Nothobranchius furzeri: one gene and its partners. The main gene of each other region encodes a partner of the protein of the gene in region 2 in a complex. Links are inferred from orthologs where the notes say so. Each region holds a gene or a part of one and is shown on either strand. Other genes may lie near its edges.

Evidence for each region. The genes of interacting proteins can lie anywhere in the genome.
Region 1: taf8 (region 2) and taf11 share a complex: the UniProt entries of both Homo sapiens proteins name them as parts of the TFIID basal transcription factor complex. The link is inferred for Nothobranchius furzeri from reciprocal best matches to the Homo sapiens genes TAF8 and TAF11.
Region 3: taf8 (region 2) and taf13 share a complex: the UniProt entries of both Homo sapiens proteins name them as parts of the TFIID basal transcription factor complex. The link is inferred for Nothobranchius furzeri from reciprocal best matches to the Homo sapiens genes TAF8 and TAF13.

The regions. Positions count from the first base shown.
Region 1 is NC_091755.1:54,207,696-54,213,930, forward strand, and holds the start of taf11 (transcription initiation factor TFIID subunit 11), read right to left. Parts: upstream 3,951-6,235; 5' UTR 3,761-3,950; intron 1,721-3,760; 5' UTR 1,690-1,720; coding exon 1,513-1,689; intron 676-1,512; coding exon 545-675; intron 472-544; coding exon 384-471; intron 304-383; coding exon 207-303; intron 136-206; coding exon 5-135; 3' UTR 1-4. Other genes in the region: nemp1 (nuclear envelope integral membrane protein 1), read left to right, coding at 4,706-4,817, 5,158-5,279. UniProt on the Homo sapiens protein: The TFIID basal transcription factor complex plays a major role in the initiation of RNA polymerase II (Pol II)-dependent transcription.
Region 2 is NC_091755.1:40,694,428-40,700,518, reverse strand, and holds taf8 (transcription initiation factor TFIID subunit 8), read right to left. Parts: upstream 4,046-6,091; 5' UTR 3,918-4,045; coding exon 3,870-3,917; intron 3,689-3,869; coding exon 3,535-3,688; intron 2,475-3,534; coding exon 2,376-2,474; intron 2,289-2,375; coding exon 2,226-2,288; intron 2,104-2,225; coding exon 1,979-2,103; intron 1,868-1,978; coding exon 1,720-1,867; intron 1,637-1,719; coding exon 1,494-1,636; intron 703-1,493; coding exon 505-702; 3' UTR 368-504; downstream 1-367. Other genes in the region: g0s2 (G0/G1 switch protein 2), read right to left, coding at 4,827-5,199, 5,287-5,429. UniProt on the Homo sapiens protein: The TFIID basal transcription factor complex plays a major role in the initiation of RNA polymerase II (Pol II)-dependent transcription.
Region 3 is NC_091755.1:48,193,018-48,197,841, forward strand, and holds taf13 (transcription initiation factor TFIID subunit 13), read left to right. Parts: upstream 1-2,274; 5' UTR 2,275-2,389; exon of another isoform or gene 2,390-2,396; intron 2,397-2,462; 5' UTR 2,463-2,509; coding exon 2,510-2,884; 3' UTR 2,885-3,174; downstream 3,175-4,824. Other genes in the region: slc35c2 (solute carrier family 35 member C2), read right to left, coding at 597-747, 922-1,032. UniProt on the Homo sapiens protein: The TFIID basal transcription factor complex plays a major role in the initiation of RNA polymerase II (Pol II)-dependent transcription.

The DNA.
Region 1 (6,235 bases), about 14 Mb from region 2:
CCTGTCAGTGAAAGAGAATGTTTTTGTACTTGGTGTTCGGGATCTGGTCCCGGGTCTTCAGCCTCCTCACGGCTTCCCTCATGTGCTTCGGCTGGAGGGGCGGCGTGTCGCCCCACTTCTCACAAACATCCAGAGCTGGAAAAGGGAGAACTCTTAATTCAGTTAAATGAACGGCATGTTTGTGTTTGATTGGTCCTCCGCTTTACCTTCTTCTACAATCTCTCCAACAAACACCTTGGCAATACCAGACATCGCAATGACCACATTTTGGGACACCGACGATCCTGTTATGGACTGGATCAGCTAAAGAAAGACCGACATCAGAGACTTTAGTTTAAGGGGGGAAAAAAGCCCTGATGCCTGTTTTCCATGTAACAGCTCACCCTTTTAATAGCAGCTTTTGGGAAGGCAGAGCGTCTGTACATCTCATAACGGTTCAGCTGCTCTTCAGAGAAGGATGACACCAGCACTCTGAAGGAGAAGCGGGTTTAATCTTTGGCTAAAGATCTGAAGTGATGAACCTCTGAAGGTACAAAGATCTTACTGCATCTTTTGTATTTCGTCCTCATCGACCTTGTGGCGCTTCTCTTTTTTCTTCTCTGGCTCCACCTTCAGCCTCTTAGAAGCAGGCTGGCCAGAGGTTCCCTCATCCTCGTCGTCTCCTGCTGTCGTTTCCTTTGCAGAGGGAGAAAAACGTGGAGTGATGCTACAATCAGGCACAACTAAACCGCAGTGCCCAAACTGATAAATATTTGTTCAATTTTCCAGATTTCTGCACACACAACTCTTTCATCTACATTTTCACACAGGTTTAGAAAGTGAACCGTAGTGTTCAGTTACTACATTAGCTGCTTTTATACAAACACTGTTTGGGTTCTTAACACAGACTGTTCATTTTGGGGTAACGGGCCTTAGCAAAGTGTTTTGTTTGTACTTAAATTATCGTTTTTAGGTTTAACACAAAGATTGGAGAAGAGCAAAAAGTTCACAACAAATGGCTTAAAGGGTGATTTGGTTTAACCACCTGAACAAAAAATGTGTTCTCTGATGTTTTATGAAACCAGAAATCACATTTTATGCGACATGTACCAGATAGTGGGTTTTTGTTTAATGATGACCACAAAACTGATTTATTTATTAGAAAATATGTCCCGTAAGAGTCTAAGCAAACTACAAGTTTCTATCTGCTGTAAATATAAACACATAAAATATCCAGTTGTCCTATTATTAGTAATAATGTGTCCAGGATTAGATGCAGGGGATCAGGCCCAAACCATCACACCACCACCACAAATCTTCACTTTGATGTAACAAGATACCTACTTTGTTCATGCAAGCATAAACATTTACACACCTGAGAACACAGCTAAAATAAAGCTGATCTTAATTAAAACAGGTTTTAATGTAAGGAAACTTCAATTATGGCTCTTCTCTATAGATTCATGTTTTACTATTTAGAGCTATCAACTCCTGTCAATGTTTCCGCGCACCATTATGGTTAGCTTCACTCACAGCTTTAACCAGAGGTGTGGGCTGATCCTGCACGCTCGGTTCTTTATTTTCTTCTGTAGGTTTTTCTGAGACGAGTTCATTTTCAGGTTGATCCTTCCTAACTACTTCTTCATCGATAGCAGAAGCTGCCGTCTTCGGAAGAGAATCTTCTGTTTTGATCCGAGCAGGATCTGCCATCGTTTCTCGACGTCTCTCTACGATTCAGCCTCTGCAAACATAAAATGTTCTCAACATAAATTTATCTGGATAAATATAGACCAATTAACTGGTAAACAATCCAAATATGCTATTAATAAACTTGAAATCAAAATAAATGATACTCTGGTGAAAGATCCTCTTATCATAGCTACTGAAATGAATAAATACTTTGTTGACACAGTTCGAGATATAACTCAACAATTCACACCGTCTAACGGTGTTTTTGATCCTGTAAATCCTTGTCATGCTGTTTTCAGGATAGAAGAAATAACAGAAGTGGACAGCAACCAATCAAAGGCAAAGGATGTATATGGTCTCTCGACACCCATTTTTTAAAACTGCACAAAGATGCACTAATTCAGCCGGTAACTCATTTAATTATTCTATCGTTTAAACAAAATGTTGTGCCTTTAGCATGGAAGCTAGCTGCAGTCACGCCAATTGACGAAACTGAAATGGCCAATTATCGGCCCATCAGTATTCTCCCCACTATCTCCAAGGTTGCAGAAAAGTGGGTGGCAAAGCAACTGAATGCATATTTAAATTTTGGACACACATCCCTACATCCAATGCAATTCGGATTTCGTAACTGCCACTCCACAGAGACTGCAAATTGTGTCTTTGTGGAAAAAGTCAAAAGTCTCCTTGACAGGCATGCATGTGTAGGAGCTGTGTTCATAGACCTCAAGTAGGCTTTCGACACGTCGATCATCAAATTCTTCTAAACAAATTGAGTCATTTTAATTTCTCACCAGAGGCGCTGCTCTGGTTTCAGTCTTATCTGTGTGACAGAAAACAATATGTGTCCTTGTTTGGCAATAAATCCTCCTACATTAGTTGTCCAGTTGGAGTTCCCCAAGGCAGTATTCTGGGGCCGATTTTGTTTATCATTTATATTTATGATCTTCTCGAAGTATGTTCAAAAGTAAACATACAAATGTATGCAGATGATGCTGTTATTTTTACTGATACTAAACGTCCTCAGGAAGCCTCCCAATTGTTGACTGCAACCATGGCCCATGTACAAAAATGGGTCAAGAGTTCCCACTTAAAGCTGAACATAAAAAAAAACTGTTTGCATGTTTTTCACCAAAAAAAACAAACAATTGAACTAAAAAAAATCAAACATCTTTCTTGAAGGGGTAGAACTTGATATTGTCAAAGAATTCAAATATCTTGGGTTAACTTTGGACCCAACCTTAACTTTTAAGAATCACATTAAACAACTTTTAAAAAAAAACTGTCAATTATAATGTCATTTTTTTAACAAGTTAGACCTTTTTTCACTCCATGCTGCAAAGTTATTTTTACATTCTATGATTTTGTCTCACATGGAATAGTGTATAACCTCCTGGTCACTTGCTGCTGGTGCAACACTCAAACCCATAGAATCCCTTTTTTTAAAAGCCATAAAAATCCTTGATAAGAAATCATTTAGTTTCCACCACTGCTTTGTTTTAGATAAATATAGACTTCTTAATCTTAGTAACTTTGTTACCTTCAAGAATGCTTGCCTGTTTTTTAAGGTTTTACATGGACTAGCCCCTTTCCCACTGACAGATTGTAATAAATCGCGGTCTATCAGTGGAACGTCGACCAGGGCTACAGATAGAGGAGACTGTGAGGTGCCTTACAGACGCACTGCTTTTGGCCCGACCACACTATCCTAACTAAATATTGGACTAAATATTGGAATAGTCTACCACTCAGCATAGGTGACTCACAGTCATGCAGTTCCTTCAAATTCAAACAATGGCTGCAGGAAACCCAAACCCGTATCCATCAGTAATTTGTCCTCACCGTGGTGTTTTGTGTGTTTTCTTTCTGTTTTTCCTAGTTTTAAATACAATACTTTACTTTCTTTTATTGCTTTTATTACCCGCCTAGGGACTGCAGATGTAAATTAGCACTGGTGCTACAATCTGGCATATTTACCGATGCAATTTATTGTTGAAGTTCATTAATATGCACTGTCCCTATTAAATAAAGAAAGAAATGAAATTTACCGTTAAGGTGGATTTTCACGACAGAAATAACAGCATATACATACCTTCAAGCCAGAACGAGCTCAACGACACCACAGGAAGCAGCAACAAAACTAATTTAAACGTATTTTAGGTAGCCGTGAACAGAAAGTGGATTAAACATGATACATTTGTATAATATGTTAAAGCACACAACAAACGTGAAAAGCTAAGCTAGCGCTTCTTTCTTCTTCTTCTTCTTCTTCTTCTTCTTCCTTTTCTTCTTCGTGGGTTAATGGCGTTTGGAAAAAAAAAATGTTGTCGCCCCTTACCGCACTGGAGGGTAGCTGATGAGGCGAATTCATAAACTCTAGGGAATCTTGAACGTAAAATAGTGCTGTTCTGTTTATTGCCACCAGCATAGAGCTCATATTTTTCATTTAAGGAAAAAACAGACTTTGGAAGAAATTAGATAGTCTTTCTACTCAGGAAGTCTTTTACATGTATTAATCCAGATTTATTTCCTTCAAATCCTCCTCCTCCTTCTCTTTTGTTATGTCCCCGACAGGAGATGTTAAAATGTGAAGGAGGGGTAACATAAGAAATGCGACAGCGGGTTTAAAATGGCTTTAATTGTTATAAAAGGATCTACCTGGATAAGATGCCTGTGTGGAGCTTGCTTCAAACTCAGTTTTTCATTGGCTTTTTGTGAACGAAGAGGTAAATTGCTTTCCTCTAGTGGCGAAAAGCCGAAACTACACGTTGGTTCTGGTCATTTTTAGTCATTGGGTAAAACATCAGTAGAAAACATGTTAGCGTCCTTATATCAATGAGGCTAGAAACTGGAGTTTGAAGTAATTATCTTTAGGTAAGATAATACTTCTTTTTTACAAAACGTACTATCTCTTTAACAAACGTAAGCTAACGTGCAACAACAACGACGACCCAGCGCTGTGATTGGCTGGAATGAGCCGCGAGAAACGGAAAAGGAAGTGGTAGATGTTAGGGGAGGAGCTTAAGGTAGAACGGCCATGGCGGGATGCGTGAAAACGACACACTGTTGTTACAAGTCAGCAATAACCAAAGTTTTAGTCTTCGTTGTACTCTTTATCTGTTTACCCCAGTCTTCACTCCAGAGTACTGGTAAGAAGCTGTGTTACAAAGTGGGAAAATACACAGTCACTTACTTTATTGTGTTTTAACTCAGGCTAATCCAGCTAATTAGTGTTAGCTTGTTTCTTTCACAAAGTGAAACTGCTTGTGTGAGTTTAGTGGTGCTTCATACGTTCCTCTTTAATTCTGTTGGTTATACATGTAGTAGTTAACATCACCCCAATTCCCTTTTCGTACAATTCCTTTACATTTCACATGGATAAGCTATTAGTTGGGTTTATCCAAAAGATAAATCATTCTAACAATTAGCAGTAGATGATAATCTCACAGGATTATCCAGTCCAGAGACATGTCTGCTTGTGAAATCCAGGGAAAGCAGCCCAAATAATTGATCTGCAGGATGGAGAAGAGTTCACCATGTCAGGATCTAACCGGTTCTGCTACAGAAATGCTCTAGTGCCGACTTGGAGGCAAACTTGGACACGAATTCAGGTGAGTTTCTTGAACTATTATTGTATGTAACTTTTATTCTAACTGAAGTGATAAGATTCACTGATCCACTGAGTCCTGGCCAAGATGGCATCTAAAATAGTTTCAAAATAAAAGAAGACAGCAAACTACAGGGAAAGAGAGTTTCCAGATTTATACATCTCAACACGATCACTCAGTAACAACATACAGCTAATATTTAAGGTACAATGTGTAAGAATTTCACAGTGGAATAATCACTAAACAGTCTGTCTCAATTATGTTGGAAGGAAGGTTACATTGATCAGATTTCCTTCTCAGCTGGCTGGAGGTTGTCAGTTTTTCTCCTTTCAAAATGGTCTAAAAGGGACACAGTCTTTGTTTACAATCTGTGAGCCCACAGGGTTACTGAGTCTGTGCTGGATAACGCTGCAGTGCCGGCATTTGTAATTCCACACCGGCTGCAATACGCAGCAGCGTTTTGTAATGATGCTAAGCCGGTAACAGGAGCAGCCCAGGGTTTTTTCTCTTGTACCCCAAAGAAGCCACGGAATCTTTTTGTTTTATTCTAATGTTGGGTAAACAAGGCTAGAGGCTAACGTTGGGCTAACAATGCTAATGGTGAATTAGAAACAAATATTCAGCTCTAGAAAAATCTCCACCCACTTTTTTAACTACCAACAACTCAAACATTTCAGTGAAATGTTTTTATCTACTTATCAACTAACTTAGTATGACTCGTCTTCACTCGTCATCCAGAATCTTCTGGTGCCAATGTGCAAAGCATAATGTATACTTCTGCGTCTGCTTGGGTGCCGAGACACACAACGCCATTATACGTCGGTGTAAGGGCTCTCCAATGGGATAACAGCGGCTGACAGAGACATAGCCAACTTTTTAAATATCCGTCGAAAGTGACGGAGACTGCAAGCATGTAATTGGTTAGGATGCTGCTTCCTTTAATTTCGTCAACAGCATCG
Region 2 (6,091 bases):
CTTCCACCCTCCCCTCTTGACTATCCTGCTGCAGACCTGCCAACCTTGTCAAAGTTTTTCGAGTACCACTTGTGCGGCGTTATTCCGTCGACTTTTGCAACTCCGTTGCTTTTCACGCTGTAATCTCCCCATTCACTGGATGGAAAATTTTACGCATGCACACACACACACACGCACACACACATGTTCATAGTTCTTATTCCGACTAGTAAGGTTATAGACATTTTTAGTTTGACCTGACTCCAAAGTATCATGTATTTTAATATTAAACAGTAAAACTCTAAAGTGTAATTATATAATATTTGTGCTCATACAAGTTACTTGCATTAAATTATTTCAATACAAATTAATAAAAAACATTTATATGTATTTAATGGTAATTATTTATTTTGTAAATTGCAATAGGTGTTTCTGTTCTCAAGAATGTAATATTACATTGGCTTAAAGCACATCTGCACACATCACCAGGGCTAATTTACTGATTACCTGCAGCTCCCTGGTGGCTTATGTCCACATCATAATTGCAGATTGTGCAAAATGCATGCTGAGATTGTTTAGAGGGTCGCAAGCATGGCCACTGTTCTTGATATTTGGACAAAAACTTGTGAGACACATGGATCCTCTTCTGTTTGGCAGGTCTGCTAACCAATCCCTCCCTGTCCGCTTCTCCCTCATCTGCCGTAGCATGAGCTGCAAAACGAGCTGCGAAAATAAAATAATGGCTGCTTGTTTAAACTGTATAAATAATCACATTCCTCCTTATATACAGGCCAAATCTATCTGCAATGGATAAAGACAAACACACACACACACACACACACACACACACACACACACACACACACACACACACACACACACACACACACACACACACACACAGGAGAGAGGAGCAGCGGGCAGGACGAAGCAGGGAGGAGGGGGGCGGGGGTGTTACGCTAGGTTAGGCAGGATAGCTTTTCTCTGCTTCTCTACGATGATTGGCTTAAACTTCTTCACCACGCCGCTGAGTCAGACATGAGTACCACACGTGCATATTCGCCACAGAACTCAACTCAGGTAGTTTAGAGGGGTGAGTCGTACCAGCGTAAATAGATGCCAGATTGCGTACAAGTTGGCAGGTCTGCTGCTGAAATCAGAGACTGGTTTGCCTCCAACTGTTTTAAGTTCATTTCAGATCAAACTTCTTCTGGACACTGAACCATCCCTGGCTAATCGCAGAAACGTATCTCTGTTGATTACTCCACTAACACCACACTAGTACCAATAAAGAGCTCTTGTGTTATTTTGGATAGCGCCTTATCCTTCCTATTACTCCTAACCGTTCTAACACACTCCGCAGTGTAGCTGCGACTCTCTCTGTTTCAATCCTAAGTGCTGCTTTTTATTGCCCTGTTCCTCTTAGTTTAGACCTTCAGAATGGCACCTTCAAAAAGTTATTTTTACTACTACTCTACTGCGCCTGGCACCAATTCCCAGCTGTGAAGACTTACTGTCACCATATTTCCAGCTGTGTTCTCGCTGTCGGTCTGGTCGTCCTGCTCAGAGGAGTCCGTCTCCTCCAGCGACTGCAGTTCCAGCTCCGAGGGCAGGAGGGCGCTCAGATATGGGATGGTGCTTGGCCGAGCTGCGATCACTAACAACAGCAATGTGTTATTCTGTATTAATGCACAGGGTTACACACAATCTGACGGGTAATGTACAGTCGGGATCCCTCACATGGGAAGGCCGTGACGTCGTCTTTGAAGAGGCTTTGAGTTTCTCCAGTTTTGGCCATGAAGCGTGTGAGGGCCCGTTCTACGTCTCTCCTCTGGTTCGCTGCCTTTTCTCTCACCACTTGGTACTCGGACACAGGCTCTCTGAATGTCTGAGGGAAGGAAGGAGAGCCTCGCAAAACACCTGTTTATGCAACATCACCCACTATGGGGGTGAACGTGGTTTTATAGGGCTATTATGGAGATTATGTTGATGAACTTACAGGTGTTTTGATGTAGGTATGAGGGTCCGGAAACTCTGGGAAGTGGCTAGGAATATGAGGTGGGTGAGTGCGCTTGTGCCCAGCTGACAGGGATTTAGGTGTTGTTGGTGTGTTCGTGACTGGAGCTAAAAATCAGGAAATACAAACATGTAGAACTTAAAACTAGCCTACAACCGTGACTCGTTACTTGATATCCTAGGGTATCATCACAGCTCTAACAGCAGAAATGTCAGGTTTTGTTTCTTACGAGCTGTAATGACCATCCTCTGTGACCGCTTGGCGTACACGGGGAGAGTGTCGACATTAAAACCTTTCCAAGGACAAACAATCACCGATTAGGAGTGTGTTCACAGTAAAAAAAAAACATGTCACCATGCTGATGCACCTTCAGTCTTACCCATTTCAATGAGTGTGACCACCGTGTCAGAGAGGGTTGGGACGCTCCTGGCCGTGTGTTCACAGTATGCTTTGGCACAACGACCTATTTCACTTATATCTTTACAGGAAAATGATACCATTAGTATTTCAAAAACTCTACAGGCACGCTTTTAAACAACCAAACAAATACCTCATCAAAGGCCAGCACCAATCGTACAACACAGTAGTGGATAGAAGCTCTCAGAGTCATAACCTGCAGTCACTAGTTCTTATTTAACTTCTTTAAACGCTGGACGTGACTCCGGTTGAAGACGTTCATTTGAACACATTGTGATCTCTTAACAGCGACATATTTTTTATTAAGTTCTCATTTTATTTATTCAGAGACGGGTGAGGGAGCTGACTGTGGTTGTGTGTGTTTGTGTGTGTGCGTGCGCAGACACGAGGGTCCAAATGCGGCTTGAATTCACCATTTGTCATCTCACCTGCTGTGCTGCTAGTTTCCCTGACTCCACAGGGGTTTGCCTAAAGTTGTGCGCATTTTCCTGTCAGGTTTTCTTTATAAATGTGCGTGGAAAGTGACACACGCGGTTTTCAGACCCGGTTTTGTTTATAAATGGGGCCCCAGATGGAGCAGAAACAGCTGAAACATAGAGGACGGAGGCTCTTTAAAGAGCAAGTCACCCCCTACAAGAAGCGTACTCCACTCCCACTTCATGTTTGAAAAATGCAACAAATGCTGTTGCCTAGCAGACCGAGAGGGTGGAGCCACTAACAAATACACACACGCACGACATTGTGACATCATAATGTACCAGTTTACATCATAGCATACCTCTTAGCCAATAGCGGTGGCAGATTTAAATTCAAATGCAGTGAAGAGTTTTTACCTGACAACGGCACAACACTGACAGTTTAAGGCAGAAAATTTAAATTTTAACTAAAATGCACTAAAGTGCAAAACTATTGACCACACGTGTCTGCAGCACGATTAGACACGCATTTATATAGTTTATCAGAAAAAATAGTTGATTTGGGGGTGACTTGCTCTTTAAACTAACCTAGACTGATTAGATCAAGTGAAGTTTAGACGTAAACATGCATTCATCTGAATAGCCTTAACCTGGTGTTGGAAGCTCGTGCTCAGCGGACAGAAGCTACTGTTTGTAAACACTTACAGCTCTGCATCATCTCCGTGAGCGTCTCCACCGCGGCCTTCTCTGCGCTCTCAAAGCCGCTCTCGGTCAGCAGGGCGCTGACAACAACCTGCAGGGTGCGACGGCGGGCCAGCTGGTAGTTCTCCGCGGCGCTGGAAGCCGCTTTAGCGCCACGCTGAAAGAGCACACACACAAACCCTGGCGTTGTAAGGTGCTAGCTTAATGTAAATATCTATCGAAATACTACTGCTCGTGCCAAGGACCAACATGTTTATTTACAGTAGTAATAACTGTGGCGATGAGAGGCGCTTGTAAGCTAGCTGGCGCGTTCTAATGCCCTAAAAAGCATCTCTTACCCCGCAGGAGGGCAGCGACCCTCCCGATACTACCGCTGGATCCGCCATAAGAGGTTAGCTCCAGGTTTCCTTCTCTAACAAATGCAATTCTTCTTCTATTTCTACTTATCCAGAAACCGCTTCACCGTCGATTGTAAACACAGCTCATACTATGACGTAATTTCCGCTTTTGTTGCGGAAGTGAAATTGAGTATTAGAGTCTTTCACTCTGCCATCTAGTGGCTATTTGCTGACATAACGTACCAGTAAGGGCGCACATCTCCCCAGTTTTACTGCTTACTGGTTACCAGAGGTGGTCGGGCCTTTCGAGCAGTGGCTCCCACACTTTAGCTCTGTCCTTGTGCTCTTATTGAAAAGATTGTGTTGAGAAACAGCTGAAAACACATTACGTTAGAATTTTTTTATACCTTATTTTATGTTCTTTTGTTTTTACGAGCACATTTTTACACAGGTTGTATGCGGTGTTTACAGTTTTTATTTGTGAAGCCCTTGGTGATATTTTTTCTGCGAACAGTGCTAAATACACATTACTTTTTGTTTTACTCAATAAAATTCTCCTCATGCATAAAGCTTAAACCTCTACCGTTAAAGTCGAATAAATCTGAATCTGTGGGCGCTTTAAATTAGGGCCAAAATTCTGCGAGCAGAAAAAATGTTTATTTAAGTACAAAATGAATGACACGAATGGCATTTCATGAGCTCCATAGACACCCAGTGCATGTCAGCCATTGGAACCTGCTGCCCAGCAGCATTACTAAACTGTATCCTGCAGTTTTTATTGTAACATTTCAGCTAAGTTTTAGCCACCAGCTAAGAAAAACTACACATTTAACCATATCTGAAATAAATTAAAGAATAAAAAATGAGCTGCTTGATTTGGTAATGCAGGCTACCACCACCACCACCACCAACAATACTGGTATATCTTTGTCCTTTTAAGTGGTGTGGAGTGTTTCTTTAAGAAGCATGTAAGCGGTTGGCTGAGCTTCTCTGGATAGATGTCCCCAGATATTTAGTCTTGGCTCCAAACGATACTGCTCCCATCATGTCCTCAACTTCGGCATGAACTGTGGCAGAGTCTGATTTGCTCGTACTGTTTTCCTTATTCATCTCGATGTAGAACTTTGCTTGTTCTTCCCCTGGGCTGTGATTGTCTAAAAAGGGCTGGAGAATCATCTCCACCACACCACCGACCATCCCGATCATCGCCAGAGTCGAGCCGAGCATGTAGATCTTAAGCATGCTCCAGCTGGGCTTCTGTCTCAGCATTTCCTTGGCAAAAAGGATGATTTCGTTGGTGCTGTCCATTTTCTGATATGCAATGATTCTGCTGGAAGAAAAATAATAGTTTAATGTAGTGTTCTTTTGTGGAAAAAACAATTATCACAAAGACATTTGGCTAATGAATGATACTCACTCTAAGGCAGACGTCAAAAATGTGAATTTCTCCCAAGTGTTTGGCACGATCAGGCATTCGCAGGTGGAGAGGCTGGAGCAGACTTCCCATTTAAATACAGCCGAAGCCGCGTTTCCTCCCACAACAGAGGAGAGACCATGCATATTTATGAGGCCACCTTTTACAGAGATTAGCACGTGTTTGTGTCAAAGGGCATGGGTTTGTGGGGAAGAGAAGTTGAACAAACACTCCCCATACGTGTAACATCACACATGATGTGCAGCACATACAGTAAACAACTGTTTAGTGAGTGCACAGTCACTGAAAATAGTTTTGGAAAACCCATCAATGAGCATACAAACTGAAGTCTGAGTGGTTGGTTTACATTGTGTGATTTGTAACCATGCACATTGGCCTTCCTCACCAGAGCTTGAAAGTTGTCCAATCAAAGTGTTGGAAACCAAGAACAACCACGCCCATTTATTGTCTGACAGATTGCTGCATTGGTTGGAATAGCCCTTATTGAACTGTGACAGATAAGCTCCATACGAAGATAAGATCCACCTCCACCCCCCAATCATGCAGCTCTGGGCTGCTCTGGCTCCTGCACTCCTGCAAACCGTCTGACCGACAGAGGGCAAGAGCCTGCAGGGGGATTGCTCGGTTTCAAACCGACTGCCCTTCGACCCAGATCATGCTGCACGAGCGGGAAGGGTGAAGTCGGGGGAGTGAGTTGGGAAATGTGTCTGATCTTTGTCACAGAGGGACATGTGTCACGAACACTCAGAGAAAAGGTCTGCACGTCAGAGACACATCAGAGCTGGAT
Region 3 (4,824 bases), about 7.5 Mb from region 2:
CAGCCAACCTAACACTAAGAGCTGTAGCCCAACAGATGCTGCTCAATGGCCTAGTGGGAGTGTGTCCGCCCAGGGACTGGGAGGTCGGAGTTCAAATCCCAGTCGGGTCATACCAAAGACTTTAGAAAGGTCTCCCTGCTTGACACTTAGCTTTAAGGGGTTGGATTGGGGGGTTAAACCACCAAACAGTTCCTGAGCTGCCGTGTCTGCAGCTCACTGCTCATCCCCATGGGGAGCAGTGAGCTGGGTTAAATGCGGAGGACAATTTTCACCACACCACACCAGTGTGACTTGGGGATAACTATGGGACTTTTAATCTTTAATCCCTGGAACAACCTCTGACAACTTTAATCGGAGTGTGAGGATGTGAGAGACATTTTTCTAAGAGGTAAAGACATCTGTTAAATGCTGAAAATACACACATTTTTTGTTAGAAAGAAGTCCCACTTTTGATAAATGTGGAAAAATCAGACAATATTAGTCTGTGGTTATTTGTTTATTGCAGCTTAACACTATAGAGACAATCTGTTCATGTTTGACCTTCACCCACTTTTCTGAATCCCAGAATAACAGTCAAAGGATTTGAGTCCATGTACCTGTTGGAGCCACCTTAAAGATGTAGTCTCTCCAGCTCAGGATGACGCGAGGTTTGCCTGTCCAGCACTGCACGGCCCATCGTGTCACACAAGATAGACAGAAGATGATGACGAGATGAACCAGTGTCATGAACAGAGGATAATGGAAGCCCTGAGTGAGATGAAATAGTAGACAGGATTAACGAGAACCGCTGTTGGGAAAAAAAAATGGCAACCATAACTCCAGGAGACAGACATAATATGGATTAAGATGGGCACCAATCAAGAAACAAATAAGAAGCTCTAATAAAGTAACACTCTGGGAAAGGGAATGGGTCTCATTTACCTTCATTAGCCATTTGTTATAGAATGTGATGCCTATAGAGAAGACATAGTAGAGGAGGACCAGTCCAATAGTGCAAAGACCTCTGAAGAGGAACTGAACTGGGCACGCCATCCGGGACTTCCAGGACCAGCTGTCCAGAATGGACTGTTAATGCAGAGGGAGCATCTCCAAAATACCTCTGCACCCCACCACACCACCCATAATGGTTCACTAGAATAAGGACCTAAGGGGAAAAACAACAAACATATGAGATATGTTATTCGGATTCAACAGAACATCCTTATCTACAACAGATAATGTAAATATGTGAGATATAATTCAACTTAGATTATCTGAAATGACTGGGGGACCTCACCCTATACACCTGAAAGACACATCCGGTCTAGCTTTAACAAGCTCTAGCAGACAGCCATGACTTGTTAATGTAACTTAAAAATAAACTATTTTTTAAAATAAAGTTCTCAACTAAGGAGAGTTGTAAATAAAACCCTTCACTTCTAGGAGCGTTAAATTGTATTTTATTTACCTTTATTATAATTCTGACCAAGAACCATGCGATTTGGATTTGGAAGATGCTATAAAATTAAACCAAAAAGTCATTAAGACTGTGTTACCACAGCCACAGCGTTAGCCTACACAGCTAACAGCTAACGAGACATGTGGAGATGAACGGCGTAGCACACACATCCTACTTTACATCTAGATATAATATAAAGTGTGTCCGGTTTACCAGATGGCTTGTGAAGAATCATCACAACCAAGCAGTTGCTATCTTTAGCCGTTAGCTGACAGCTAAGCTAACGCAACTTTCGGATCTCTAAACGTTTTAACAACATTAACATAGAAACATTTAGTAGCTAACCAGCGACTCTAGTGTAGTTCTTACCGGTTCTGATCTTGTGTACACGTCTGAGCACAGAAAGAAAGAAAATAAGGCACTAGATATTTGAGCTAGTGTTTCTTTCCGCTATGTTTCTTCTTCTACGCCTTCAACGGAGGTTGACACATTATTCACAAATGCATGCTGGGTTAGAGAAGCAGAAAACAAAAACCGCCAAAAAGCTTCAACTTCATTATCATTCATGATATAGTTTGGCTAAGTAGAAACAAAAACACTCAAGAAAACAATTGGAATAGATGCAGATCTGAAATAAACCTAATATACATATGAAGTCGTTATTTTTTCCGTTTGTTGAATTCAGCCTGTCAGTGTGACTCTCATGGCTCTAATATTTATTAATTTATTTTGTTTATTTATTTATTTATTTGTGACTCGTTTCAATCTCGATTTTAAACAAGAATTTATTCAAAAGATTAGATCTGCGCTGACGTTTCAAACTCAGTCCAGTAGGTGGCGGTCATGCAATTTGAAGTTGGCGTGTCAAACGCTGAAGCCCAAAAATACCAAAGAAGAAGAACAACAACGAACGTAGAAGAGTCTGGGGATTGTTGTGATCCAGTTTTCAAAGTAAAATGTAATTTTTGTTCTCTAAAACGCATTTTGATGTTTGCATGTTGTAAGTGTGAGGTTTATCTTACAGTAAAGCGTCGTTAAGGCTCGTTTTATCGGCGTTTTCCTCCAGAATTAATGGCGGACGAGGAGGACGAGGCTGGCTTCGAGGAGGAGTTGGAGGACGGGTCCAGCGGAGTGGATGTCGGCCACGGCAGGAGAAAGAGACTCTTCTCTAAGGAGCTCCGGTGCATGATGTACGGGTTTGGAGACGACCAGAACCCGTACACGGAGTCTGTGGATATTCTGGAGGATCTGGTGATCGAGTTCATCACGGAAATGACCCACAAAGCCATGTCTATCGGGCGCCAGGGCCGCGTCCAGGTGGAGGACATCGTTTTTCTAATTCGCAAGGATCCCAGAAAGTTCGCCAGAGTCAAAGACCTCCTGACCATGAACGAGGAGCTGAAGAGAGCCCGGAAAGCTTTTGATGAAGCCAATTACGGCTCCTAATGAACTCGCGTTTGTTTGTCGCTTCCTGCTAACTGGTTTGTGTATTTTTTAGTGGTTCTCACTTGAATAACAGAACTGACTGTTTTAATGACATGTTTACACTGTCAAGTCATCGGAAACTCTCAAATAAAGTTAGTTTGTTTCAAATAAGTCCCAACACCAACAGGAAAACCAACATCTGTTATTTACATTGAAGAATGAAACTTTCTGCCAACGTGTTGGAAAGGATTGTTAAGGTTTTTTTAAGTGTTTCCATGGAAACTGCGTGAATAAATTAACATTTCATTATCTTTCCTGCTGTTTGGATTGGAGAGACTTTTGTGGTATATCAGGTGTTTCTGCAGTTTAAAATTAGAGTTTTTACACCTTAAATGTACCCGTATGTCGTTAGTTTCCTAACTTTGTTGCTGTCTGCAGAAGAGATGACCTGCTGTGGCACATCTGGCTGGGATTTCATAATTGTGAGTGTTAACCCTTTGATGCATAATGGTCACTACAGTGGACAGGTACTCAAAATTGTTATTTATTTGTTTTTGCACAAAGCACAGCTGTTGAAGACTTGATGGCATTTGAGCCCCTCCATTTGGACTTCAGTAAGTCAAGCCAACATGTTTCATGCTCAGAATGCACGCTGCCCACTGAGGTGGACATGTAATAAATTATTTGTAAATTATAAAAAAAATATATATTTGTTGAAATTTGTTTCATTCACACCTAAAGACGAATGAAAAAAATCATGGTTGAAGATTTCATAATTCATGCATCAAAGGGTTAAAGCATTTTGTAATAATGTTCACTCATCTGTTCAATCAGAACTAACCAGTTATGCCATTCAAAGATATATCTACAGTTAATCGCTCATAACATTTCCACAGAACACTTCAAAGGATCTAAACGCTTCCTTTGAAGTGTGCGTCAACAGCCATCAAGTGTTGAAGTACAACCAATCAGAGTGTTTTTCAGAAACCTTTAACCCAGAAATAGTCAGATCTGTTATTTATATATTTGCTGGACTTCAGTGTTGTCTCATATGAAGAAAAAGGTCCAATCCAGGCTTCGAGGTTCATTTCACACCTGCATGTTTGTGACCCTGGCTGGCTCACAAACGTGCAGATGTTCTAGTTTATGAAGATTTCTTTGAGTTCAAACAAACACAAATAAAAGAACAGCTTTGAAGAGCTGCTGGAGCGTAACATCACACCAACCTCAGGACAACTGGACGTCGTTTTTATTTTCTCTTGTATTTAGATCAACTGATTCTTTAAATAATAAACATTTATGTATCTGAACTGAGAATTAACCTTCATGGTCTCTCAATCTGAACCCAGAAACGGACCAAACACCAAGTCTGGGTTCTCCTCACACCAGATGAGACTTAAGTGTGTGTTTGGATAACACAAAATCTGGTGACAAAATGAAGAAACAAAGGCATTTTATTTAAATTCCTCAAAAACAAAGTACTTTTTACACAGACCATAAATATGACAGACCGACTACAAGTGAGCAGGTGTTAGTTCATTTATTCTTTTCAAGCTTCTTTTTACAGTGAAGAAATTGAATTAATTGGTCTAAGCAGCAGGTCACAGGCTGCCCTTCTATCTAGACTACATCTGGATCAGAACTTCACAAAGAGGGGGGTCGATGAAGACACCAAGCCTAGCAATCAGCAGAAGGTGTTGACTGAATTTCCTCATTGCAGCTTTGCTGTCCGGTGGCGGGGTCCAGTGTCAGCACAGCATCGGTAGCCTGCTGTCTGCCTTCAGAGGGAGTCAGCTCAGCCGGCGACCCCCACCAGGTGCCCTGCTGAGGATGTCTGCAAGGCTACAAGGATGGAGAGGTAAGGCAGTGAACCAGGTGGACAACAAGGGGAGTGTGTGGGTGCTTATTCGGGTCAGAGAGGTGGAGGCAGGGCGAAGGTTGGTGCAGATGTGTTCAGACAG